Linked DNA regions of Mus musculus. The protein of the gene in region 7 binds, or shares a complex with, the protein of the main gene of each other region. Links are inferred from orthologs where the notes say so. Each region holds a gene or a part of one and is shown on either strand. Other genes may lie near its edges. The genes, in order: Ctnnd1, Cdh1, Pak4, Fbxw11, Cdh26, Bcl9 and Ctnnb1.

Region 1 (3,500 bases), on a different chromosome or scaffold from region 7:
CAGGCATGGTAGTGTATGCTTTTTATCACAGAATTTGGGAGGCCGAAGCAGGTAGATTACTTCAAGTTCAAGTCCAACCTGCTCAACATAGTGAGTTCTAGGCCAGCCAGAGCTACACAGTGAGACCCTGACTCAAAAAGAATTAATTATTCAATAAATTAATTAAAAGTTAAGAGTCTAGAAAGTTCTAGATCCATACCTGTCTATAGATTAACAGTGACCTCTAACCTGGCACTCACCAGTAATCACTTCAGTCAGGTCCATATCACGAGCCTTTCGGAGCAATCGGACCAGAGCAGGAACACCATCACAGTTTTTTATGGCGATCTTGTTATCTTGGTCACGTCCAAAAGAGATATTCTTGAGAGCTCCACAGGCTCCGAGGTGCACTTCCTTTTTGGGATGGTCTAACAATCCTACCAATATCGGGATACCCTTGAGCTTCCGCACGTCAGTCTTCACCTTGTCATTGCGGTAGCATAAGTGCTGCAGGTATGCAGCTGCATTGGACTTAACAGCATCCAAGCGGAAGCCTAACATGGCAATCACCTCTGGCAGCTCAGGCTGTCTCCAGTTTGAAGGTGGGGGCATTCCCTTTCGCAAACTATCCAAGCTTGCTAAACTGCCCCGCTCATGCTGAGCTAAAGGAGCCCAATAGTACTGATCAGGCGGCACCTCTTCACCAATCATGTCTTCATAGCTCCTGCAATTTTGAAAGAACAAAGAACCAAGCAGTTAAATCTGGCTTCATAGACATTCCTATTACCAATCATCTTCAAGGTAGGATCACAGCTCTACAGAGATCATGTGTCTCCTCTGTATGGTCAATTTTTAATAATTTTGTGAGCAAGTGCAAGTACTCTCAATGTCCCTCGACATTATTATTATTATTTTTTTTTGAGACAGAGTTTCTTCCCAAATCTGAAGCTTGCTGATAAACTAGTCTGACTGTCCTGCAGGACCCAAGGATCCTCTTATCTCTGCCACCACAGAGCTTAGCTTGTTATGTAGGTACTGGAGCTCAAATCCTGGTCCTCATGTTGTGCAAAAAGCATTTCACCAACTGAACTCTCTCCCTGGGTCCAATTTTAATAACTTAAAAGTAACCTGTGGCCGGGTGTGGTGGCGCACGCCTTTAATCCCAGCACTTGGGAGGCAGAGGCAGGCGGATTTCTGAGTTCGAGGCCAGCCTGGGCTAAAAAGTGAGTTCCAGGATAGCCAGGGCTACACAGAGAAACCCTGTCTCAAAAAACCAATGAATGAATGAATGAATGAATGAATGAATAAATAAATAAATAAATAAATTTTAAAAAGTAACCTGTGAAGTTTGCTGATTGAGAAAGACAAGTATGTGGAACGTTCATCACAAAGAGAACACACAAGGAATCCGCACACAGGAAAGAGCTAGTGGAACAAAACTATTAAGCTCGCCCTATTTTGGAAATTGAAGAGGCACTGATCAAGAAAAACAGAGGACTTCTGGCTATATTGTTGAGGAGTTAGCTTTAGTACTACTGAGGCATAAACTTGAACACTAGCTGTCACAGTTCATCCCAGGGCCTCACGTGCTATTCAGTCAGACAGGTATGTTCCAAGAAGAGTTCCATCCTTCAACTTCTACATTTCCATGTCTGCCAAATGGCACCTATACACCAACATATATTGGAATGTCCCAGCTCTTGGATCAGAAGAAGAAACTGAAAGATGTCAGATGAGAAGCAACACTTCCTGTTTCAGTACCATCAATACCCACTAGAGGGTGAGCCTGTCACACTGTTATTTATAAGTACAAAGGAAGAACCCTATTATCTATGAGCTCACCTCACTCACCACCAACCCAACCCCCCCCCCCCCCCCCCGGGCTCCCACTGGGATAGGGGACTCTATTGTGTAGGACTCTCCAAATAAGACTTGCTTGTTCCATAAAACCACTCCCACAGTCACCAAACATTGAAAATTAGCCTACCTAACAGGTATCAACACTGATCATTAAACAATAAAAAACTCAGTAGAACAAATCATTTCATTAAAAAATAAATAGACTTGGCAGTAGTGGCACATGGCTTTAATCTCAGTAGTTGGGAGACAAAGGCAGGGCAAATCTCTATGAGTTCAAGGCCAGCCTGGTCTACAGAGAAAGCTCCAGGACAGCCCTGGTCTTGAAAAACCAAGGGAAGTAGGGGGTTGATAGTAAAGGCACCTTTAAACTTAAAATGTCATTTAAACAAAATAAAGTAAGTTGTTTTGTTTTAAAAGCAGATTGCTAAACACTATATGAAAAAATATTTCCTTTTAATGAGAAAACAGGATACATGTTTTCAAGAAAACCCCAAGAAACACCAAACTGTCCATGAGAGAATGGTGTTTTAGGCTGTATGCTGAGCATATTTTACTTTTCTTGTTTAAGACAAGCAACTATAAAAATAATTGCCACTGCCAGATTTTGTTTCAGTCACTCAAGGAAGTCTATCTTTATACTTCCTTCTTTCATAGGCAGTAGATCAAGATTCTTTCACAAATAACAAAACTGCACAAATGACCCAATAACTTGCTTAAGGCTCTATAGATAATGGCAGAGGCAAACTAAAACCAGGGTTTTCAAGTTCAGTGCTTTTGCCACTAATCACTGCCTTGCTATGAAAGTTTGACCTTGCACTATTCTTGAAGGCCGAAACAGGAAGCAGAATTCTTCTAGTCAAGAATCTTGCTAGTCAAGCAGGATTCCAAACTCAATGTCACCCTGGAATAAACCCAAGAACCAAGCCCCAAACCCGCTCTATGTGACTGGCACTTCAAAGGACAGCAGGGAACAGTCTGGTCATCCACACCCACCTGTGTCTAATCTCTCTTGGCTATTGAGGAAGTCAGAGCAAGCAGACTTCAGCCCCACTCCTTGGGCAGACTCTTCTAATGATAGCTGCTATCTATCTACCCTAGCTAGCTTACACCAGCTAAGATCTGGTGCCCCTTTAGGAATAAAAGGTGAGTCACATGGGAGTTGAATTTGCTAACCACGCCATCTGAAGAGTGTCAGTGACTCAGGCTTAGATAATAGGGCCTCTACTCCTGTCCCAGACTAATTCAGTTTATGGTTAGCCAATACCACCTAATATACATTTGGAAAGTGCCAAGACCTTTGCTTTGGAAGGTCATGAACCTACTTACAAAGACTGAGAACAGCTGCCAGGGCACCCTCACTATCAAGATAACTATAAGCCTTCCTTTATTTCTTAACTTGGAAAATATAGACCCTGATTTTAAAGTAATGTTTGCAGCCCAAGACCAAACATGTTTTTTTGTGCACACCCATAAGTAAGAGTTTTTAAAATAACCTTTTAAAAATATGAAATCCCGACAAGAGACATGACAAAGGCACTAATGAACAGCACACAAAGCCTAAAATGGGTCCTTTAAAAAAGGTCTACCAGCCAGAGCTAAATAGTGATACCCTGTCTCAACAATAACAAGAATAAAGAAAGGGAAGGAAGAAAGAAAGGGAG
Region 2 (3,500 bases), on a different chromosome or scaffold from region 7:
ATTCTTGGGGGCAGGGGGGACCAATCCAGAAGGGCTGAAAATGTAGCTCAGTTGATGAGTTCTGATTTAGAGTACATGAGGCCCTGGTTTCTATACCCTACTATCACATAAATGCACCCATCATCCATCCTTTGTTGAGTGGAGGCAGGAGGACCTGAAGTTCAAGATCACCGATGGCCCGCATAATTTGAAGCCAGACTGGGCTTCATGAGATTGTTTCTAAAAATGTTCCAACCAAACAACAGACAGACAGGAAAGAGGGCCTGGCTAGAACTTGGCAGGCTGTGGTCTCTGTTGATGTAGTGTCTTCCTGTGGAGGGTAAGGATGAGATCTTGTAGAAACTTTGTTACCAGGAATCATTCTAAACCAATCCAGGAGGTGTCGCCTTTCATCTTAGGCTTTCCTGTTTCCCTGAGTGTGCAGGAAGTTATCTTTATTGCACATGAGAACTGTTCAATGCAAGTCTCCAGGTAATTTTTGTTTCCTAGCCCAGCTGCTTCTGTTAGAACAAATGCAACCCTTACAGATATAACACAATAAGATTAACATGTTTGTATCGATCTCAGAAATAGTTCTTTTTTTTTTTTTTTTTTTTTTAGATTTATTTATTATTATATCTAAGTACACTGTAGCTGTCTTCAGATGCACCAGAAGAGGGCGTCAGATCTCATTACGGATGGTTGTGAGCCACCATGTGGTTGCTGGGATTTGAACTCAGGACCTTTGGAAGAGCAGTTGGTGCTCTTAACCACTGAGCCATCTCTCCAGCCCCTCAGAAATAGTTCTTAATAGCAATTCCCCAAACTCGTTGATTGATAGCTCCACTTTGGTGAGCTGTATCCCTAGGGAAACAAAAGAAGAGAAGCCTAGAACTCCCAAATAGCTAGTTACTGAATTACTTCTGACATTATCAGTGTATGGCTTAAAGGGCATGTACCATATAAGTTTGAAATAACTTTTAAATACAATTGTCAAATGTCTGGACCCACAAATTTTGTATGCACAGTGATTATTTGAATGCTAAACATTAAGGATTTAATGAGAACAACCTGGTGGTGATGGCACATGCCTTCAATTCCAGCACTTGGAAGGCAGATGCAGGTGGATTTCTCTTGAGTTCAAGGCCGGCCTGGTCTGCAAAACAAGTTCCAGGACAGCAAAGGGCTACACAGAGAAATCCTATCTCAAACCAACCAACCAACCAACCAACAAACAACAACAAAAAAACATACTAACACGGGTGGTGGTGGTGGGGTTTGCTTGGGTTTTTAACTCTGGAGGTTCAAGCCCATATGATACTTTATTCTGTCCTCTAATTGGGCTAGCGTACTGGAGAGTAAACCACTTGTCATATGATCCAGAAAGCAAAGATGAGACTCGGGTCTGAATATCTTCTGTGATCTGAAGGCCTCTCATTAGCCACTAAGTTAGGGAACCAAGCTTTTAGGCATAGGAACTGTGGGAAGTCAGCGTCCAGACAACAGTATGTTTATTTCTTTGGCTTAAACTTTAACTGTTCATCTTGAATGGTACAGGTAATTTGTCATTGAGAATGAGTCACTAAATTCAAGATGGTGGACGTCCATGGGATGGATGAACTGTTAGACCCGTATGTCTTCTGCATTACCTCATTTTGTTAATCTTCTTTTCTCTTAGGACCCTGCCTCTGAATCCAACCCAGAGCTGCTCATGTTTCCCAGCGTGTACCCAGGTCTCAGAAGACAGAAACGAGACTGGGTCATCCCTCCCATCAGCTGCCCCGAAAATGAAAAGGGCGAATTTCCAAAGAACCTGGTTCAGGTAGGAGAGGAAGTTGGTGGCAGGCTCTGCCCTCTTGAGAGAAGAGAAAATGAAAAGACCCCATGTTGAGATCTTCCCTGGCCAGTTCTGATCCTCTTCTGTTTTGTGTTCAGATCAAATCCAACAGGGACAAAGAAACAAAGGTTTTCTACAGCATCACCGGCCAAGGAGCTGACAAACCCCCCGTTGGCGTTTTCATCATTGAGAGGGAGACAGGCTGGCTGAAAGTGACACAGCCTCTGGATAGAGAAGCCATTGCCAAGTACATCGTGAGTAATTTTGTAGACACTTGTTGGCCACTGGGTAACGGTTGTCAAATTTTGGGAGCAGCTGGTGTTTTATCCCCAGTTTGGATGCCCTGGACATATAAGTAGCTTAACTTATCTTAAAGTTGGGATGGTGAGTTGTTGATGTTGTAGGGATTCCTCACATCATACATGAGCTTAGATGGAAGCTGTAGGAGTGGGCCTGGAGGAATGGCTCAGTGGATAAGAACATTTGTTGCCCTTGAAGAGAATCTTGAGTTGAGTTCCCAGCATTCACATGGGTAGCTCACAACCACCTGAAACTGCAGCTCTGGGTGTTCTGACACCGTATGACCTCCCTTGATAACTGCACAAAAGTGTATGCGAACACACACAGAGGCAGAGACAGGCAGAGACAGGGATAGAGATAGAGACAGAGACATACATACATATACATGCTGGGGACTAGCCTGCTCTAACAGGTATGGAGGTGGGGGAGCCTTGGATAAAGCTAAAGGCTGGTGATAGCTTCAGAACTCTTCCTTGCTGTTTTGGGGGTCAGAAGCTGTCTGGCAATTTAACTCTCTCACTATTCTGTGGCTAAAAGCTGATGATTTCTGGCAATTAACTCCTGCTGATAGCAGCAGGGGATTAAGAAAAGAAGTTAGTTGCTTAGGCTGTCTCCTTTTTGACTCTGAGGCTGAGAGTTCTGTTAACTCTTTGTGGGCCAGAGAGAAAGGAAAAGACTCTACTCACTCTGGATGAAGCAGAGAAAAGAATCTCCAACAAATCTTTATTTCTGTTCTCAGTATACACACATTCTCTGAAAATTACCTCATACAGCTATCAGGTAGAATTGATTACATGATTTTTTTTTTTCTTTTTTTCTTTTTTCTTTTTTGGTTTTTCAAGACAGGGTTTCTCTGTGTAGCCCTGGCTGTCCTGGAACTCACTCTGTAGATCAGGCTGACCTCGAACTCAGAGATCCACCTGCCTCTGCCTCCCAAGTGTTAGGATTAAAGGCGTGTGCCACTGCTGCTAGGCTTACATGATTTTCTAAACACTTTTCCATTCTGTAAGTTCATAGTAAAAGCAGCAGTTCATGTCATAAGGTTTAAGGAGTTAGAGCAGAAATGTTTAATCTCTTCCCATTAAGATAGTATCTGACTAAACATCTGCTATCTATCTTTAGCTCTATAAGTTCAATATAAGTAAATAATTTTTTATCACAAATTAGCACGGTTTTGTGGAGATAAATCACCTACCTTTTGTCTTATTAATTTTAAAGTTTTATATAGATAAACTAGTCAATATTTTATTTGTTGTCTTTGCACCTACAATAAATTATCCATTCCCAGTTTATGACCTTTCGTTACCAGATAGTGACCTTGTTCCTAACCAGAAGGAATGTTTTCCTTGGTCATAAATTTGTTCCAAGCCTGCTTTCTTTTCCT
Region 3 (3,500 bases), on a different chromosome or scaffold from region 7:
AGTAGGCCCCTCCATAGTCCCCAGACAACCCACCCTAAACACTCCCATGACCCAATGAGCTTTGTGGTCATTTCTCACACATTGTGTGTCCCCAAAATTTCACCACTGCTCTATGCACCCTTGTGTTTCCACACCTTTCCACAGTCCTGCCAGGGGAAGGACACTTGTCCTAATTCCCGTGCAGGCAGGCACCTTAGCTGGGACTGCCTAGATGACAAGCTTCCTGACCACTGACTCAGGTTCTAATAGCAGAGCCTGGCAGGTAGCCCCTGAAGGAAAAAAGAAATGAAAAAGGTAAACATGCCTGCTCCTAGGTGTGGTGGAGGAGGTTATTGTGGGTATGAGGGAGAGCACAGCCAGAGGCAGGGGCATCTGGAAGAGGCCAGAGTGGACATGACTCTGAGCCAGGTGAGGAGAGGGGGAGGGAAGAGCCAGGAGGCCAGGAGGGTAAAAGGCAGCAGAGTCAGCGCAGCCAAAATGGCTGGATTATATAGGGAAAGGCAGCTGGGGGAAGGCAGTCCAGGGGGAAGCAGTGGATGCCGGAAAGAAAGACCCTGTAACAGGTAGGGACTGAGGGATGCTGGGAAATGCTAGAGGCCTGGTCTGCTTTGATATGTCAAATAGGCACCTCAGCCATTTGTCCTGGGTTTGAAACCTAACATCCATCTTTCTTGACTCCCTGGACAAGGCCAGGCTTTCAGGCAGACAGCCAGGGCCCACAAGAGGCTGGGACCACAGCATGCCATTAGGAGCCTTATGGACTCCAGGTCGTTCCCGGGAGCTCAGTATAAACTCAGCCTCAGAGACTATCCAGGCAACTCCCCACCTCTCCTTCTTGCCTTCCTCCTCCCTTCCTTCCTTCTTTTGCAAAGTACCTTGTTCTTGGTGTGGACTCTGATCTAGGTCCAAGACCTGGTAGGCTGTGAATGGTAGAACAAGTGCTCAGCCCCGGGAAGGCCACAGGGTAAAGCAGCATCCTGGGCTCACAGCCTAGTCCGCTGCAGCAGGCCTACAACCCTGGTTCTCAACCTGTGGGTCACGACCCACATAGTGGATATTTACATTACAATTCATAACAGTAGCAGACCACAGTTATGAAGTGGCAATGAAATAATTTTGTGTTTAGGGTCATCACAGCATGAGGAATGGTCGCAGCATTAGAAAGGCTGAGAACCACTGTTCTAGAAGAAAAAAGGAAAGAGCCGGAGACTTGTGGGCTGGCATTTAAACTAGGGGTTAGCAAGTCCTCAGAGAAGGAGGTTTTGATCAGAGACCTCTGGGAGGGGAGTGGGACAGCCATGGAGACATTTGGGAGATGTAGGGCAGGGCAAAGAGCTGATGGACACACATCCAGTGTATTGGAGGAACCGCCTGATGTGCCCAGTGCTCAGGAGGAGCCAAGAAGACCACACCTCAGTGGGGCAGGGAGAGTGGAGGCTTGGTGGTTCAGGGCATGTTTCAGTTGACGCTTGCCACACAGCTCCCAAGCCTCCTAGCTTTAGGCTGTGGGCTTTCTATTCTGCGCCACATCCTCTGCCCTAGGGGATCAGAGCTGCGTGGTTTGAGGGTTAATGATGCTGGCAGCCTGCAGGGGAGGAAGTGCTGAGCCAAGCGGCCTGTAATTTGCAGCTCTTGGGGGCTGATTATAGGCTGAGTTCTCCTCCCTCACCCTAGTCCACAGGGCAGAGCTTGCTGCCAGGCTGGGAGCCAAGGAAAGTCAAGAGGCACTTGTTGGGGGAGCACCAGAGTGGGTGGTGGGCGTGACAGCAGCTCCTGGGGCTCCCACCCATCATCACAGGCTATCACCTCACCTGTCTCTGTCTTGTTTCTGTGTTGTATTGTCTTTCCTGTGTCGGATGCACGACCTGTGTCCCCTCCTTCCTGGCCCTACCCTGCCATTGCCTGGACCCCAGACCATCGTTCGGGGCAGCAAAGGTGCCAAGGATGGGGCTCTCACTCTGCTGCTTGACGAATTTGAGAACATGTCGGTGACGCGCTCCAACTCCCTACGCAGAGAGAGTCCACCACCACCTGCCCGTGCCCACCAGGAGAATGGAATGCTGGAGGAGCGGGCAGCCCCGGCCAGAATGGCCCCTGACAAAGCTGGAAGCAGAGCCCGGGCCACAGGCCACAGTGAGGCAGGCAGTGGCAGTGGTGACAGACGGCGGGTGGGGCCAGAGAAAAGGCCCAAATCTTCGAGGGATGGTCCAGGAGGACCCCAGGAGGCCTCCCGCGATAAGCGCCCACTCTCTGGGCCTGATGTCAGCACTCCTCAGCCTGGCAGTCTGACCAGCGGGACAAAACTAGCAGCTGGCAGGCCCTTTAACACATACCCACGGGCTGACACGGACCACCCACCCCGCGGTGCCCAGGTAACCCATCCCCCACTTTAGCACCTCAGTATCCACTCCATTGTTTCCCTCCCACCCCCCCGCCCCTATTCCAGTCCATAGCGCATTTCTCATCCTGACCACAGGTCATCCGGATGGTGAGAGTTAATGCAGACTCCACTCACAACGCCTCTTTCTTCTGTTGCAGGGGGAGCCACATACCATGGCCCCTAATGGGCCTTCAGCCACAGGCCTGGCCGCTCCTCAGTCTTCCTCCTCCTCCCGGCCTCCCACCCGAGCCCGTGGTGCTCCCAGCCCAGGAGTTCTGGGTCCCCATGCCTCTGAGCCCCAGTTGGCCCCCCCAGCACGTGCCCTTGCTGCCCCTGCTGTACCTCCTGCCCCTGGGCCCCCTGGGCCTCGCTCACCACAGCGGGAGCCCCAACGAGTGTCCCATGAGCAGTTCCGGGCTGCCCTGCAGCTGGTGGTGGACCCAGGGGACCCTCGTTCCTATCTAGACAACTTCATCAAGATTGGTGAGGGCTCTACAGGTATTGTGTGCATTGCCACTGTACGCAGCTCAGGCAAACTGGTGGCCGTCAAGAAGATGGACTTGCGCAAGCAGCAAAGACGTGAACTGCTCTTCAATGAGGTGGGTGCTGGCCGGGAAGCCCAATGCTCTGCCCTCCTCTCCTCACAGCTGTCCCAGGCTAAGACTCCTGCCTGTGCCTGTCATCCCAAGTGCCCATGACTTTGTTCCAACTAGTCCTGGGCCTGTGTTCTCCTCCAGACCTCTTCTCCTTCAGGGTTCCTGTCTCTGGGATGCTCTGTCATCCGTCACTCGAGACCACTGCCCAGGATCCCCTTCCTCCAGTCCCTCTTCTGTGAAGCCTCTTTCTCCCACCCTTGGGCTCCAGCTTTTCTGTCAGGCCTCCCCTGGGCACTCCATGTATCACATCCGAGAAAGGAGTCCTTTGCAGCCTTGACAGACCCTCCTAATGTCTCCCATGTCCTCAAGTCAGAGTTCAGCTCCTTGCCCATCAGATCCTGTCCCAGATAGCTCAGAACCAGACTTGGACTTGAACTTGGTTCGACCCCGTTTCTGGCTCTGGGTGTCAACCTTGGCATCCATCACAAAGGCAGTTCTGAAGTGTGTGGGTGTGACAGGTACCT
Region 4 (4,197 bases), on a different chromosome or scaffold from region 7:
TACATAAACAACTTTTTTTTTAATTAGATATTTTCTTTATTTACATTTCAAATGCTATCCGGAAAGTTCCCTATACCCTCCTCCTGCCCTGCTCCCCTACCCACCCACTACCACTTCTTGGCCCTGGCATTCCCCTGTACTGGGGCACATAAAGTTTGCAAGACCTAGGGGCCTCTCTTCCCAGTGATGGCTGACTAGGCCATCTTCTGATACATATGCAGCAGAGACACGAGCTCTGGGGGTACTGCTTAGTTCATATTGTTGTTCTACCTATAGGGTTGCAGACCCCTTCAACTCCTTGGGTACTTTCTCTAGCTCCTCCACTGGGGGCCCTGTGTTCCATCCTATAGATGACTGTGAGCATCCACTTCTGTATTTGCCAGGCACTGGCATAGCCTCATACGAGACAGCTATAACAGGATCCCTTCAGCAAAATCTTGCTGGCATATGCAATAGTGTCTGGGTTTGGTGGCTGATTATGGGATGGATCCCCAGGAGGGGTGGTCTCTGGATAGTCCATCCTTTTGTCTTAGCTCCAAACTTTGTCTCTGTAACTCCTTTCATGGCTATTTTGTTCCCTATTAAACAACAACTTTTTAAAGATATTTTGTCGCCAGGCAGTGGTGGCACACGCCTTTAATCCCAGCACTTGGGAGGCAGAGGCAGGCGGATTTCTGAGTTGGTGGCCAGCCTGGTCTACAGAGTGAGTTCCAGGACAGCCAGGGCTACACAGAGAAATCCTGTCTCCAAAAACCAAAAACCAAAAAAAAAAAAAAAAAAAAAAAAAAAGGTATTTTGTTAAAATAACTATCAAAGTTTCCCAAACTGTTATAACCAACAATTCGATTCTGAAAATGGAAAAAAGTCCTCAGAACCTGAAGATAAAGTGACAGAATTCCTTTCAACACATACAACCAACCAGAAACTTCCAGGTTTAATTTTCAACAATCCAGTTCTGCACATTGTGCAGAGTCCAGCAGACATGAGACTCTGTATTTTATGCTACTATACTTCCATTTTAAAACGTGTACCTCAGCTCCCTGGATAACATCATCCACAGAAACCATGAGGCTATCCAACAGACTTTCAGTATCACCATTTATTATTTATAGCATTAAATGGGGGAAGTGGCTCTGATGTCACCAACCCTACCCAGTGGAATCACTGACTCAATAAGCGATTCACACTGGAGAAACTCTGACGAGGAAAACATCTTGCTAAGTTCAGCAGATCTTTCACCTTTTCTTAATACTGTGGAGCAGATACTAGTTGTTACTATATCAGTAGAGATACAAAGAAAACTATCAAGGTTTTCACAGGAAGAAGCCCTTTGTATGTTCATTTGCAGAGGCTGATTTCCTCCCCAACTCTCCTGGGCCCAGTTTGATTTCCCTCACGTTCAAACTGGCAGGTAATACCAGTCAGCCATACTTTATTTCTTCCGCCAATGAGCAAATCCTTCACTTTCCCAGACTCAGAGTCCTGTTTCCAAAAACCTTTCTAGCACCAAGTCTGAGGTCAGAAACGGGTTAGGGGTGTCCGGGGAGACCTGACCAGGCTGGCTACCAATGGTTCCTAACAGTACAGGGATCGCTGCTTATCCGTGGGCCAAGAAACCCCCCTCCCATTTTTTATTATTAAAATAAGAGAGGGTGGCAGTGATGAGCGCGACCTCTTCTCCCTCCCCTCTCATTTCCCAAATGATAAAAGTTATGGTTTCCCTTTCCTGGGGGATGGAATTCAAGAGTACCTAGGGCCTTGCTATACAAACATCCTTCACGGCAGGGTAGGAAACCCTTTGTCCAAGAAGCCTGACACCGCAGGGGCCCGGAAAATAGGCCCCTTATCCGGAACAGCCTCAGACTCGTAGGCACCCCCAACATCCCAGTCCAATGGGGCTATCCTGGCATCCATACAGCGGTAGCTTGGGGCGAGGGTGCTGAGACCCACCCCTACCACCCACCCCACCCCACCCCACCCCACCCCCCGCGCCTAGGTTATGGAGGCCGAAGCGGCTCCAACTGGTCTCGGACTCCCTTCCACCACCATCACCCTCAGCTTGAGCGAGGCTGGGAGGCGCGATGCAGGCCCGGCCAGAGGAATCCAGGGAAGGGAAAAAGAAATCCCCTTCTAAAAACAGAGTGTGATGGCAAGGCAAGAGTGAGCAGTGGCTCCGGCAGGAGCGAGGCTGGGGCGCCGGAGACTGGCCGGAGCCCGGCAAGGAGGGGGTTGGGGGAGCCGCGGGGAGTGGAGGCCGTGCCGGCCCAAGAGCGCGAAGCGTCAGCAACGAGCCATAGCAGGGGGGCGGCCGGGCCCAGGCGGCGGGGAACGAGGGCTGGCCTGGCGCGGACGCCGGGGTGGGCAGGCCCCCCGGCCGCCGGCCGGCCGGAAGAACTGAAGGCCAGTGGGCCGCACTCACCATGAGCTCGATGGTCTTGTCTTCAATCACCGAGTCGGGCTCCATGGCGGCCCCGGCGGCCCCGCCTCGCTCTCTCCGCTCAGCAGCGATCGGCCCGGGCGGAGGAGGCGGTGGCGGCGGCGGCGGTGGAGGCAGCTCTCGCACCCACTCTAGCTGCCAGCCCGCCCGGGCCGCCCGCAGCTCCGCCCTCACCCTCGGCCGACGCAGGACGCACAGCGAAGACTACAACTCCCGGCAGCCGCGGCGGCTCGCGCAGCTTTGTGGGAGCAAGAAGCCGCTTGGTCCAATCTGCCGGCTTCTGCCACCGGAGAGAGCACCTAGGGGAGCGCAGGGCTGTGAGTGCCGGACGTGCAGAGCTGGAGTATCTAGGGCTTGCTCGCGATAGGGCCTCGCGAGCGCCGCGACTACTTGTCCCAGAAATCCTCGCGCGCGAGGTCTTCTTCCGGTTGGTCGTTCCTGACTTCCTGGCAGCCCGTAGCCGCACGGACCTGGACGGAAACTCCGAGGCAACTCCTCACTTGTCGGAGATCTTTGCAGTGCGAGCGAGCGATCTCCGCACATGCGCAGTGGGTGTCTGCGGTGCCCACTAGTCGTCTAGGCTGCAGCGCTGCCGTTCCGTGTGTGTTGCATTTGGTAGGGACAGATGGTGGAGACAGGTGGGTCCCAGGTTGCACTAGGAAGTGTGGGAGGGGGCCCGCGAGGTCGAAGACACAATTAAAGGAAGATGGGCATCTAAGAGTTTGGAGACTGAGCTGGGAAAGCGGTGTGTGGAGATCTGCCACACTGACTGGGAGGAGCTGAGCCATGAGAAAGAAGCTATACATTTTGAAGACACTTTTTTTTTTTTCCGAGACAGGGTTTCTCTGTATACCTGGCTGTCCTGGAACTCACTTTGTAGACCAGGCTGTCCTCGAACTCAGAAATCTGCCTGCCTCCACCTCCTCAAAGGCGTGCGCCACCACCGCCCGGCCGAAGACACTTATTTTTAAGCATTCAGTTTCTACTAGTACTGCCCTAAGCACTGGGAATGACCGGAGAGACCTCTGTTCTTATTCAGCTTAATTCTAGTGGGAAGACAGCAGACATTGACTAAGAGTTAGAAATGATATGAAGAAACGCATCTAGAGACTTCAGAGAACCTCTAACTCCTTGTGACTTCCAAGTCTGTCAATACCCTCGAACCAAAAGCCCCCAGGAACACGCTGATAGTTGAACAAGGTGGGTTTTTTCCTAGCTGAAGTAGAAATGAACATACACCATGATGAAGCAGGGACGTCTCAGTAAGAGACCTTAGGTAATGTAGAAAAGGATTTGAAGGGGCTTTGGAGCAGATACTGCCGGGAAGTGGGGGTATAAGACTGGGCACCTCAGCCTTATCTATGGGAAGTTATATTAGATTAAAACTAATCCAGTAATTGTTGACAGCCTCTCCTGTTAGCCAGATTCAAGTGTTTAGTCTTGTAGCTGTGTTTCAGGGACTTGGACAATGTCCATGTTTTATCTGTGTTCACAAATGATTATGGGGTGGTCTTGTTTTTGTCTTGATCCATAAGCTAAGGCCACAGAATGGCCTTGTCTAATGTTGACGGACTGTTAAGTTGTTTATGTTTACAGGAGACCTGGCAGTCAGAGCTGTTATAAAGTGTCTCAAGGGCCTGGCTCATTGTACCCAGCCCACTTCACAGTAGCAGTGCCTGCTTGCCTGCTTCTCAAGTTTGTTTCAATTCTTTGCCCCTGTAAAGAGGATGACTTAGTACTCTAACGATTCCCAGGGAGCA
Region 5 (3,500 bases), on a different chromosome or scaffold from region 7:
CCTAAATCAAAAGCCTTCCCCACTGGGCAGGTTAGGGATATGATGCCTGTGTCTAGGGGCTTGGAGTATATATATGTGTGTGTGTGTGTGTGTGTGTGTGTGTGTGTGTGTGTGTGTGTGTATATATATATATATATATATATATATATATATATATACATACATATATATACATATATATACATATATATATACATACATATATATACATATACATATATATACATATATATACATATATATATATATATATATATATATATATATATATATATATACAAGCAGGGATCCTCTATCTTTGGGTTTGTATGACTGGAGAGGTGACAGGGGAAAGCCATGTTTTAAACCTGATAACATTTGTTCAGACATCAGGATGGAACCATGCAGCTGGGAGGGGACCTTCTTGACCTGGAAAGTAATTTTATGGTATTATCAGAAGCTGGTGTATTTTTACAAACTGGTCACAGCTGTTTAGGAACACTTAATTGCCCTTTTCTCATGGTCTAAGAGTGGGCCTCTTATCAATTCAAGAATGTCTGGTCCTTGTTCCCTTCAAGGGCAGGAGCCATCTGCACTGGAGAAATGTTGGTTATCTATCAAGGAGAGTGTTAGCCTTGGTGACACAGGGACTAGGGTATGTTGCTTTTTTGTCTGTTCCCAAAGCTGGCATCTGCCGCTGCCCCTCCATCCCCAACCTCCGCCCCAGGGAGGTCGTTATGGGGAAGGGAGTGCCACCATGAAAAAATGAATTGCAATATTCCAGTGCCAGGCTGGCCCCTTTCTGTTTGACCTCTCCAAAGGCCAGAGGCATCTATGCTGGGAAAGTGGGGAAGGGGAGATCTGACTGCTGATGGCAGGAAAGTGCAGAGGCAGGTTTCCCGTGTCTCCTTAGAATGAAGTCTTTGGTGACCTTGCATCTCACAGCTCTCCCACTGAAGGCCTTGTAAAGATGGTAGCTCATCTCCAGAAAACTCACTTGCACATCTTAGCCTTTTCTAGATGGCTTCTGACAAATAACTCAGTGGCAGGCGACTGTGCAGAAGGCTGTCAGGGACCTTGCTATGCACAGTGTGGACTGTCACTCCTTGGTATTTCCTGAAACTTGTTCAACTAACAGGCAAACTCTCGACTGTACCAGATGTATTGACTCCAGCTGGTCCTTGCAATTGATTTGCTGTACGATGAAAGGCACTGGCCATCCTTGTGTCTCCTTGAAAGCCACAAAGACTCAGCATTGCAGTGCCCTGTCAGAAGCCACCCTCTCAGCTATGTGACTCTATATAAAGGGATCGGTCTGATCTTTTATTTCCTCACCTATAAAATATGGCAAGACTATTTCCCTCCAGGGCCAGCTACTCCACTGCATGTAGTAGATAGATTCTTCTGCTCATCACACATGCCCCAATGTTTACACTTCAGATGTTTAAAATGTTTTAAACCCAGGAGATTAAAAGAACTTTTAGTTGGAGAAGCCTGTTTAAAGGGAATGGGAATGCGGCCCAACCAGTCCTGCCCTTGCCTAGCCCTCACAAGGTACTGTGCTTGATCCCCAGCACCACACAAAGCAAGCATGGGGGTGCACACCCACAGTCCCAGCACTGCAGAGTTAGAGGCAAGACCAGAAACTTAAGGGAATTCTCTACTACATAGTGAATTCAAGGGCAGTCTCCAAGACTTGAAACCCTTTACCAAGAAAATGAATAAATTTTTAAGTTCACTTTCATTGCATCAGGAAAAACAAAACAAAACAACAACAACAACAACATCCAACCTCCAGGGCTCATGTGAACATAGTAAATTTTACCTCCAACAGCAACATCAAAGCATCAAATAAGTTTTTTTTGTTGTTTTGTTTTTTGTTTTTGTTTTGTTTTTTTCGTTTTTCGAGACAGGGTTTCTCTAGTAGTCCTGGCTGTCCTGGAACTCACTCTGTAGACCAGGCTGGCCTCGAACTCAGAGATCCACCTGCCTCTGCCTCCCAAGTGCTGGGATTAAAGGCGTGCGCCACCACACCAGGCACTCAAATAAGATTTTTAAAAGTTGGTTATTATCATTTCTGCAAGAGGAGTCCTTGGCCTCTAGACAAAGGGCTCATCTGCTCCTGCATTCTTCTAAGGGTTGCCCAGGGCACAACACACACTTGACACACAGTGAGTGTTTAGCAGGTACCAGCCCCTCAGGCATTATGGCTTGTCCTCCAGACAAGGACTACAACACCCACCACAACCCGGTCTTGACTTTACCTTGATAATACTTAACAACCCTTGGTTGGTCTCAGGGTCAGTCACAATATCAAAATGGCCCTCCTCGTTGCCATCCCATATGTTGAATTGTGTTCTCCATGCTGGTGTAAATGGAGAATCTCCATCTTGGACAGGGAGATACAACACACCCTGTTCGACTTGACCTTCAGAAATCCGAATCTCATACTGGAAGAAATAATCATCGTTTCCATGTCACTGGCACAAAGACACACCATGGAGAAGGAGAGCAGGAAGTGAGAGGAGGGATGCAGGAAGCAAGAGGAGGAGGGCAGGAAGTGAGAGGAGGAGAGCAGGAAGTGAGAAGAGGAGAGCAGGAAGTGAGAGGAGGAGAGCAGGAAGTGAGAGGAGGGATGCAGGAAGCGAGAGGAGGAGGGCAGGAAGTGAGAGGAGGGATGCAGGAAGCAAGAGGAGGAGAGCAGGAAGTGAGAGGAGGGATGCAGGAAGCAAGAGGAGGAGGGTAGGAAGTGAGAGGAGGAGAGCAGGAAGTGAGAGGAGGGATGCAGGAAGCAAGAGGAAGAGAGCAGGAAGTGAGAGGAGGGATGCAGGAAGCAAAAGGAAGAGAGCAGGAAATGAGAGGAGGGATGCAGGAAGCAAGAGGAAGAGAGCAGGAAGTGAGAGGAGGGATGCAGGAAGCAAGAGGAGGAGGGCAGGAACCGAGAGGAGGGAGAGGTAGGTCCTTAGCAAGACACCCGCAGGCTCCGGGTATTGGCATTCCTCCAGTTATAGCAGAAAATACCATTGAGTCAGGAGCGGGATCCTTCTAACAAATGGCATGACAAATGGCATGACTCCGTGTCTACAGCTGGGTGATTTTAAGCATAGTCAGTGCATAATAAAGATATCAGATGCAGTACACATCTCAGCCTACGAGCCTTAAGTACCCCAGCTCTTCCTCAACAAGAGAGAGATTTGTTTGGATCAAGGTGACCATCTTTCCAGCACACGTGGTTCCTTGAAATGGCTGGATTTTCAGAATTTTGTGGCGATAGGTCTCCGAGCAAGCACAGCAGGTCAGCAATGTATTTTTCCCCAGGCTTACGTTTGAACACATAGCTTTGTCCTAAGCCAGGGGAGGCTTCTGATTCAAGGCTTCACTGTAAGATTATTCTGCCATTTGTGTAAACATTTGGATGAGTTGCTTTCATCTGAAAACATCCCACGTTGGTTTATGTAATTAAAAAAATTTAAATGACACATTTTTAAAATTAATTGCTTGAATCATTAATGCAACAGTTA
Region 6 (3,500 bases), on a different chromosome or scaffold from region 7:
GAATTACATTCTAAAAGAATGAAAGACTCGCTGTCACGGGGAGAGCAGGCGGCTCCTCCCAGCCGTCCTGCTAGCATTTACAGCGTCATCACAACACAAATCCACCTTGAAAATTTCAAGAGCAAGTTCCTTGCTAAGAGAAATTGTCTCTTCTACTCATATATATCAAATACTTTCCCTAAATGACTCATTATGCATCACTCCTCCGCCCTCCCCTGTCTACAGCACACACATTAGCATGAACGTCCCTCCTTTCCGAAACCTTTTAGACACGACAGGATACCCCTGGTAATCAAACTCATAGCTCCCTTCTAGTAACTTAGTATTTATCATATTTCATACGGATGGTCTGATGATGGCTGGCTTTCTAGGTGCCCTCAAGTCCTTAAGGATGACAACTATCTGTCCTGCTGTCTGCACCCTCAGTCCCCAGGAGAGGGCTGGGATTCCAGGAACACTTCAGAAAGGGAGGGGAAAGGGAAGCAGGGAGAGGCAGGGAGGTTATTCAGTTTACACTTTCATTTTGGGCTGAGGAAATCTCACTTTCATTTCTTAAACAACAAACAGTATCTTCACTTTCTGGCCTGCTCTTAAGTTTTTGTTTTTGTTTGTTTGTTTTTTTTTTTTTTTTTTTTTTTTTTTTAGTTTTAATGTAGGAAGAAAAAAGCTGAAAGCCCCATACCAATACTCTTCCCTGACTTGTTCCACTGTGGTGCCTGCCAACTTTCTACCACATCTGGTAGCCACTCATTCCTGCCACACTGAAATCAGCTGTGACAGCTCTGGACTAGTGCCAGGGCCATTAAGGCTTCCCCTTGTGTTTATCAGTCTGGCAAAGTGGCAACCAGAAAGCACAAACCTAAGTCCTGGAGGATTTCTCCAAGGCGGGAATGTCAGAGAAGCTGCTCTAGTGTGGGCAAAAGACACAGCTGACTGCAGCTACTGGCTTGACTGAAGAACCACAGTGCAGGCCAGAAATATGCTTACGAACATGAGCTAGGACTGTAAGATATCTGATCAAGCCACACACCTTCGAGAGCAAGAACTCAACGAAGTGTTCTAGACTCTTCTTCAATGAGGAGAAAAATGAGACGCAGTGGTTTATCTATCCTAAGCTGCAGACTTCCAGGCTCTGCCGCCTCCTCTCCCACTTCACTGACAGCAGCCTCTGGCCTCTACTGAATGTTAGACGCCTTCCCCAGGGAACACCTACTTCCCTCTGAGTCTCAAAGATCTTGTAGACATACCTTTAATGTCAGAGTCATCGTTTGGAGTCCCAGGATCTCTCTGATCAAAGGAGTCGGCCGAAATACTTCGCTCCCTTTTCCCCTTGCCCTTGGCACCATTTCCAGCCCCATTCTTCAGCCCCATGCTCCCACCTGGGCCAGGGAGTGCTTTAGGGGTATGGCCCCCACTCTTGGAGTCACAGGGGGATGGCTGGGATTGGCTGGCTGAGCCCCCCGGTTTACCCTGATTGGAGAATTTGGAATCCAGCTGGGGGTTTCCAGATGGGGACATCACTGTAGGGGGACGGACCATCACCTCCTGCTTTGACTTAGGGCTACTAAAAGAAACAAATAACAAAGAGAGATCAGATGCCAGATACGGCCAGTACAAACTGATATTTCTAGAATGGGTTAAGGAGCCCCTGTGTGCTGCAACCTTGCCCACTTGCTTGTCCCTGCCACCCTGGCTCCCATCTTAGAGCTATCAACAGAGAGGAGGATCAAACAGAATGGCCTCCAGGTCTCAGGAACACTAGAGTCACATGGGGACCTATCTCTAGGGCTTCTGTCAATAAAGGACAACCGTTTCTATGTACATAGAAAAGTGACTCTCACACTAAGACTAGCTCAGAGTAAACAAACAGACATCGTTAAGATCAAAATACTACCACCCCCAGGCTCATGACAAGGAACAGCTGTAATGAAAGCCTAGCTGCTCTGCGGGAACAAGCAAGCAGGCCCAGGAGGGCAGAAGGGAAACCCACTGGAGCTGTCAGGTTAGGGAAATCCTCCAGTGTCCAGATCCCTTCCAACAGCAACACAGCACCAAAGCAGGGCAGGCAGCCTCTGCCCAGGGAAGACAAAACATTCTTTTAAATAACTGGGTACTGAGAATCACAGCAAGGGCTCTAGGTGGTAGTTGGTGGTGGCTTAGTTCCAGGACCTCATTACTCTATGCCTCAGATCCTCAGATGGTGCTGGCTGGTCTGTAAGGTCCTTCTGCTTCTGCTTCGGAAGGGTGGGGAAATGGTACAGGTGGGAGATACGGGAACGGTGGATGAGAGTAGCCCAGAAAAACTGCACTTGTTATTGCTTCAGTAAGTTTCCTCTTCCTTTGCCACGAGTGTCCATCCTGCTTCTAACTGTACCCGCGGTTGCAGCAATGAGTGTGTGTGGTGCCCATGTGCCATGCCGAGGGGTGAGAGTGAGGCCCTGCCCTTACCTCTGTGTGTTTCCTGATGGCGAGCTCCTCACTTTAGGGTTACTGGGATGCATTGATTGAAATCCTGAGCTCTCGGTCACTAACTGAGACAGGCTCACCGAGTTCCTCTCGGGCTGCAGCAGAAGTAGCTGCTAGGGGCAGAGGCGGTTGCCCACTGTTTGCTTGGTGCGTCCCTTAGTGCTGGCTGCCTGTTCGACTTTTTCCTCTTTGTTTTTCTCTGCTGTGGAAGTGGGTCCTTCCCCCTTGAAGTTCCAGCATTCTCTGAGTGTGTGCCTCCTGCTGCTGAAGGAAAATCTCGCATCTCCAGGGCACACTACAGGAGAAGGACACACAAGGCAAGAGGTGAGAGTGAAAATGAACACAGAAACACCTTTCTACAGGGTCATTTGTCTGGGCACGAGACAGCTGCGCATGCCTCCACTCCTGCTGGATAAAGGAGAAAAGTCCTCTTGCAGCCATTAGCTCCAGTGTTTAAGCAACTGAAGGGGACTAAGAATTTCTCATCAGCACACGGGCCTCCCATCCAAGCAACTGTGTTTGTGGTTGAGAAGAGGGAGTTAATTTTCAGCTGTTTATTCTCCCTTGTGTTTGTTTCTGAATGTAACAGTCTCAATGGACTTGGGTTGTCTGCCCCCTCTCCCAAATAATGCTTTGAGACCACTGGGCATTGCCTTCTGATGGTGGGCTGCGGTGGCAAGCAAGGGCAGAGATGTGTAACAAACCCATCCCAATTTCAAACTATGTAGCAAATTATCGATGCTTTTACTCTTCAGGCCTGAGGGGGATGGGGTACTGAAGGAGACTCTTCTAAAAACAAACATTAAGCTAATACCAATACAATCAGTTCTGCCCTCCACCCCCCCCCCATTTCCATGATTCTTCTATTAAATTATGCAGATTTTGTAACTGTGTCCTCACCTTAATGACAGGGACATGGGCAAGCATGGCAATGAGCCACAGACTGGAAGGTAAAGGAGTATCTTTGAAGGCTAAGATATTTTTTGAGCCAATTTGCAAGGCTAATTTGAAGCATAAAGGTCAATAAAATATTA
Region 7 (3,930 bases):
GTAGGGCTTTGGTAAAATACCTTTTCCTGCTCTATCTCTCTGAGTTATGGCAGGCCAAGTCAGCCCCAGCCAGCAGCAGAGTTTACTCTCCGGAAATCCGAGCAGAGCTGCAGAGGGGAAAGGTCTAGACAAAGGCCCTCACTGAGCAGCTCCAGCATGGTGGACTGTGGTGGTTCACAGAGTTACGGTGATATGTCTTTAAGATAGAAAATTGAGTCATTTAAAAACTAAGCTGGCCCTACAGCACCGGCCCTGCCTCAGTGATGCATGGGCTTCCTGCCAGTACCTGTACATAAGGACCTATTGTTTACTTGCGTTAATTACAGCGCTGGGATGAAAGAAGGCAGTGGGGCAACTTTCCCTGTTGCCATTGTTTGGGAAGAGACGTGAGCTCAGAATAATAGGCTGGAGACAGCCAATTCACCCCAACTGCTCCAGTTTTGACAAGTGCCAATCGTGAAGGACAACAATGGGGCCATTTCCAAGAGAAGATCCAACTTCACCCTATTGTCATGATTTGGGGGGGGGGGAGCTCTCGAAGGATACAAAATTAGTTTTGAAAATTTAAGAGGTTACCCACAGGTCCTCTCAGCAACACACTCGAGTTTCTCAAACAATACAGAAAAATCGCTGTCCTTGGTCCCCACGCCTGGTTCTACTGACCCAGTGAGTCTGGGTAAGATGGGGTTTCTAGGAATCACGCTGGTGAACGCAGTGGTGGAGCTGAATCACTTGTTAATAGATGTTCGCAGACACTCTTGGGGACTCCAAGGCCTCCTGGGGTGGGGAGGAAAGGTGGCTGGGCCCCAGGTTCCCTGTCCGGATTCCAGAGGCACAGCGGGAAGGGAAGCGGGACACTCCTGGGAGCGGTAAAGTGTGGTGGGGTCCAATGGTGGTTCAGGGGTGTGGCGGCCGGTGCACCGGTGATGGCAGCCTCGAACCTGCGCCGTCCGAGGCCGCACTCCACCCGGCCCGCGGCGGCGGCCCGCTCTCGATTCCTTTAGTTTCCAATGGAGCGGCGTCTGGACGCCCCGCCCCGGCTCGGCCCCTCCCGGCGGCGCACGCGCAGAGCGACTCGGACTGGCGGGGACTACTTTCCCCGGCCCGCCCGCGCCCCGCCCCTCGTCCTCGCGCGGCGGAACGCTCCGCGCGGAGCGGCAGCGGCAGGATACACGGTGCCGCGCCGCTTATAAATCGCTCCTTGTGCGGCGCCATCTTAAGCCCTCGCTCGGTGGCGGCCGCGTCAGCTCGTGTCCTGTGAAGCCCGCGGCCCGGGGAGGCGGAGACGGAGCACGGTGGGCGCCGAGCCGTCAGTGCAGGAGGCCGAGGCCGAGCGGGCGGCCGCGAGTGAGCAGCGCGCGGGCCTGAGGTGCGGCGCCGCGGCGGGCCGGCTCGCGCCGCGCCAGCGGGAAACTTCGCGGGCCGGGTGGCGGCGGGAGGCCGCGGGGACGCGCGGGCTGGGGCCGGGGCCGGGCGGGCGCGCGCCGGGAGCCCGGATGGACGGCTGGCCGCCGTGGGGGGTGGGGACCGCGGTTCGCGTCCGGGCTGGGGCCGCCGCGGGGGCGGGGTGGGCGGGGGCCTCGCCTCCGTGGCCCGCGGAGCCGGGGGGACGCGAGACCTGGCGCTCGTCCCCTCTGTCCCTCGTGGAGCACGCACAGACAAATTTTTTTTTCTCCCTGCAACGACCTGACTGTGAGTTTGAATCCAAACAACTTTAAGCCGTGGAGTCGCCAAACTTGGATGCAGCGGGCGGGATGCGTCAGGAGCGTGTTCTCGGAGGGTGGCTTCTTGGACTCGCGTGGGGTTGGTGGCTGCGGGGCCGAGGTCCTGGCGGGAATTTGGGACCGTGGACGAGTCACCGGCCACTCCTGGTGTTGGAGGCGGGGGGGGGGGGAGGTGCGCGGGATCCGAAACCTGGGCTTGGGGGAGGGGGACTTGCCCTTAGCCAGTAAGTGTGGGGTCCGCTCCAAGTGTTTCTCCCCAGCGCGTTTGCTTTCTGAGCGAGACGGAGTGGCCGGAGCGCGGACCGCCAGGGCGTGGGAGCCTGGCGACTTGTTCTGAGTGTTGTTTGGGGGACCAGACTTGGAACCGACGCTCCCAAGTTCGGTACCCCAGGCCCGCTCCGGTGAGCCCGCTGGCTGCGGGGCAGCTTTGTCTCGGGCTCGGGTCTCCAGACATCTGTGGGCTCCCCTCCCCCGCGCCCCCCGCAGCCCCCCTCCCGGGGCCTGAGCTCTGAATGGAGAGCGGCTGGGCTGCTGGTATGCGGAGGTCGGCGAGAGGAAATCGAGGAGTGGTTTTAGTGAAACGAGAGCTTTGTGCCATGAATAATGGTGGCTTAGACCAGACAGCAAGCTGAGGAGACGGCAGCTTTGCCTTTGATAAAGTCTGCCTCATGTTTTTCACATGGCCAAGTTGTGAAGCGTTTTGTCTGGGATTTAGGAAGCCATTTCGCTATTTACTTGAGGTTTGCAGATGTCTCAGTGCAGTCTCTCCTCGTCCCGGGAAAGAGCTTGCTTTCTTGGTTCTAATTTAATGTTGCTTAAGCTTGTGGCCTTTGTATTTCGGTTTTGTATGTCCGGCTCAAACTTTGAGTTAAGGCCCGCAGTTACATTTAGTTCACTTTCACCTTAAACATTCAGAAATCCCCGAAATTAAAATGAAGTGCCTCCAAGGTTTGTTTGAGAACGCCCTTTCACAGCGGACAACATTGTTGATGGTACTGGGGATAGTCATTCTGTGACCTACCTAACCTTTGTCCTCAAGGCCGAGTCTGGACAAGGCCTTTAGTGGTGGCAAGGAAGTTGGAAACTTGCAGATGTTTCTCTACAACAAACCCTCCCAGGCTGAAGTCCTTAATTAAGGAAGCAGGCTATCTGGAAAGCTTAGCTTGCCTGGGACAGAGTCCTGGGCCTCACAGTCTGTAAAAAGACTATCTTCAGATAGGGAAACATTTAATCGAATGCAGGCGTGAAGAAATAGAGTTTAACTGTCATGTGATCATTTCTCATAGTCTAGAGCAGTGCTTCTCAGTCAGTCTTCCTGATGTTGTGACCTGTTAAAATAGTTTCTCAACTGTTATGGTGACCCCAACCGTAAAACTTTCCTTGCTACTTCACAACTGACTTTGCTACTGTTGTGAACCATAATGTAAATGTTTTCCCACGGTCTTAGGTGACCCCTGTGAAAGGGTTGTTGAACCCCCAGATTGAGAACACTAGTTTAGAGACTGTATATTGGGTATCTATGTCTCCAGCTTGAAGGGAAGTATCTACTGCTGTAGTGACGATGGGACTAGAGACTGTGAGTGAAGCCTTAGCTCACGAGTCTCAGAATCCCAGAATCCCACCGCCAAGGTGGAGGATGGGGAACTTTCTTAGTCGGAGTGTATTTTGAAATGTGTGCTCAGGAAAACTGGTGGAGCCCTTTTGCAAATAAACTCAGGGCAGAGCATGGACAAGAGCCTGTGCACACTGCAGGTGGCGAGTGGAGTGGAGTGGTATATTTACAGTCGTTTGTTGCTGTACTTCTAAGCAGGAAGTGGACAGTGAAAGTAGATGGAGTCAACTGAAATATCAGTGCTGAGGTGAGGTGAGGTGAGGCCAGGTCGTGGTCTCTGCCCATCACCTAGTGGTAAATTTTTAGTGTCCTTGGCCAGAAGCAAACCCGAGGGACAAACTCCTGAAACGGTGTTCACAAACTCGTAAAAACCTTGCAAACGTACAAACATTTTAACTCCATTTTCTTTTGTTGTTTTGTGGCCCCTGTCAACTCCTTTTTATTTAAAACAATCTCACTGAAGACATCTTCATGCCACAGAGAGTAAAGTAGATGAGCAGCTACAGTTCTGAGGCCTGTGGAGGCAGCCTCTGTCCTGAGAGGACGCAGCTTGAGGAATGTTAGGCAGCCCTGCGATGCTTGCTCTTCAGCAAC

The links.
Region 1: Ctnnb1 (region 7) and Ctnnd1 share a complex: the UniProt entries of both Homo sapiens proteins name them as parts of the cadherin:catenin adhesion complex. The link is inferred for Mus musculus from reciprocal best matches to the Homo sapiens genes CTNNB1 and CTNND1.
Region 2: the proteins of Ctnnb1 (region 7) and Cdh1 are in contact, whole or in part, in a crystal structure (PDB 1I7W), measured with the Mus musculus proteins. Residues at the interface, in NP_001159374.1 of Mus musculus: Leu148, Ala149, Arg151, Ala152, Glu155, Leu156, Leu159, Asp162, Val167, Lys170, Ala171, Val173, Met174, Gln177, Leu178, Phe253, Ile256, Thr257, His260, Leu264, His265, Asn290, Lys292, Phe293, Ala295, Ile296, Asp299, Gln302, Ala305, Tyr306; in NP_033994.1 of Mus musculus: Asp788, Val789, Ala790, Pro791, Ile813, Asp814, Asn816, Leu817, Ala820, Asp821, Pro824, Ala826, Pro827, Pro828, Tyr829, Asp830, Ser831, Leu832, Leu833, Val834, Phe835, Asp836, Tyr837, Glu838, Gly839, Ser840, Gly841, Ser842, Glu843, Ala844.
Region 3: the proteins of Ctnnb1 (region 7) and Pak4 are in contact, whole or in part, in a crystal structure (PDB 6WLX), measured with the Homo sapiens proteins. The link is inferred for Mus musculus from reciprocal best matches to the Homo sapiens genes CTNNB1 and PAK4. Residues at the interface, in NP_001091679.1 of Homo sapiens: Lys672, Arg673, Leu674, Ser675, Val676; in NP_001014831.1 of Homo sapiens: Ser331, Gln358, Thr404, Asp440, Lys442, Ser443, Asp444, Phe461, Leu475, Val476, Gly477, Thr478, Pro479, Tyr480, Trp481, Met482, Glu507, Phe516.
Region 4: the proteins of Ctnnb1 (region 7) and Fbxw11 are in contact, whole or in part, in a crystal structure (PDB 6WNX), measured with the Homo sapiens proteins. The link is inferred for Mus musculus from reciprocal best matches to the Homo sapiens genes CTNNB1 and FBXW11. Residues at the interface, in NP_001091679.1 of Homo sapiens: Leu31, Asp32, Ser33, Gly34, Ile35, His36, Ser37, Gly38, Ala39; in NP_036432.2 of Homo sapiens: Tyr244, Arg258, Ser282, Leu284, Ser298, Leu324, Lys338, Ala364, Ala365, Asn367, Gly381, Arg383, Arg404, Gly405, Ala407, Ser421, Leu445, Arg447, Tyr461, Arg494, Phe496.
Region 5: Ctnnb1 (region 7) and Cdh26 share a complex: the UniProt entries of both Homo sapiens proteins name them as parts of the cadherin:catenin adhesion complex. The link is inferred for Mus musculus from reciprocal best matches to the Homo sapiens genes CTNNB1 and CDH26.
Region 6: the proteins of Ctnnb1 (region 7) and Bcl9 are in contact, whole or in part, in a crystal structure (PDB 3SL9), measured with the Homo sapiens proteins. The link is inferred for Mus musculus from reciprocal best matches to the Homo sapiens genes CTNNB1 and BCL9. Residues at the interface, in NP_001091679.1 of Homo sapiens: Leu148, Arg151, Ala152, Glu155, Leu156, Leu159, Asp162, Asp164, Val166, Val167, Lys170, Ala171, Met174, Leu178; in NP_004317.2 of Homo sapiens: Asp349, Leu351, His358, Arg359, Ser362, Leu363, Thr365, Leu366, Ile369, Gln370, Met372, Leu373.

The regions. Positions count from the first base shown.
Region 1 is NC_000068.7:84,616,241-84,619,740, forward strand, and holds part of Ctnnd1 (catenin delta-1), read right to left. Parts: intron 704-3,500; coding exon 240-703; intron 1-239. UniProt on the Homo sapiens protein: Key regulator of cell-cell adhesion that associates with and regulates the cell adhesion properties of both C-, E- and N-cadherins, being critical for their surface stability.
Region 2 is NC_000074.6:106,651,850-106,655,349, forward strand, and holds part of Cdh1 (cadherin-1 preproprotein), read left to right. Parts: intron 1-1,657; coding exon 1,658-1,801; intron 1,802-1,914; coding exon 1,915-2,070; intron 2,071-3,500.
Region 3 is NC_000073.6:28,563,685-28,567,184, reverse strand, and holds part of Pak4 (serine/threonine-protein kinase PAK 4), read left to right. Parts: intron 1-1,913; coding exon 1,914-2,372; intron 2,373-2,538; coding exon 2,539-2,979; intron 2,980-3,500. UniProt on the Homo sapiens protein: Serine/threonine-protein kinase that plays a role in a variety of different signaling pathways including cytoskeleton regulation, cell adhesion turnover, cell migration, growth, proliferation or cell survival.
Region 4 is NC_000077.6:32,641,158-32,645,354, reverse strand, and holds the start of Fbxw11 (F-box/WD repeat-containing protein 11), read right to left. Parts: upstream 2,801-4,197; 5' UTR 2,465-2,800; coding exon 2,420-2,464; intron 1-2,419.
Region 5 is NC_000068.7:178,461,515-178,465,014, reverse strand, and holds part of Cdh26 (cadherin-like protein 26 isoform a precursor), read right to left. Parts: intron 2,430-3,500; coding exon 2,244-2,429; intron 1-2,243. UniProt on the Homo sapiens protein: Cadherins are calcium-dependent cell adhesion proteins. They preferentially interact with themselves in a homophilic manner in connecting cells; cadherins may thus contribute to the sorting of heterogeneous cell types.
Region 6 is NC_000069.6:97,213,865-97,217,364, forward strand, and holds part of Bcl9 (B-cell CLL/lymphoma 9 protein), read right to left. Parts: intron 2,762-3,500; 5' UTR 2,502-2,761; coding exon 2,449-2,501; intron 1,565-2,448; coding exon 1,248-1,564; intron 11-1,247; coding exon 1-10. UniProt on the Homo sapiens protein: Involved in signal transduction through the Wnt pathway. Promotes beta-catenin's transcriptional activity.
Region 7 is NC_000075.6:120,932,270-120,936,199, forward strand, and holds the start of Ctnnb1 (catenin beta-1), read left to right. Parts: upstream 1-1,130; 5' UTR 1,131-1,369; intron 1,370-3,930. UniProt on the Homo sapiens protein: Key downstream component of the canonical Wnt signaling pathway.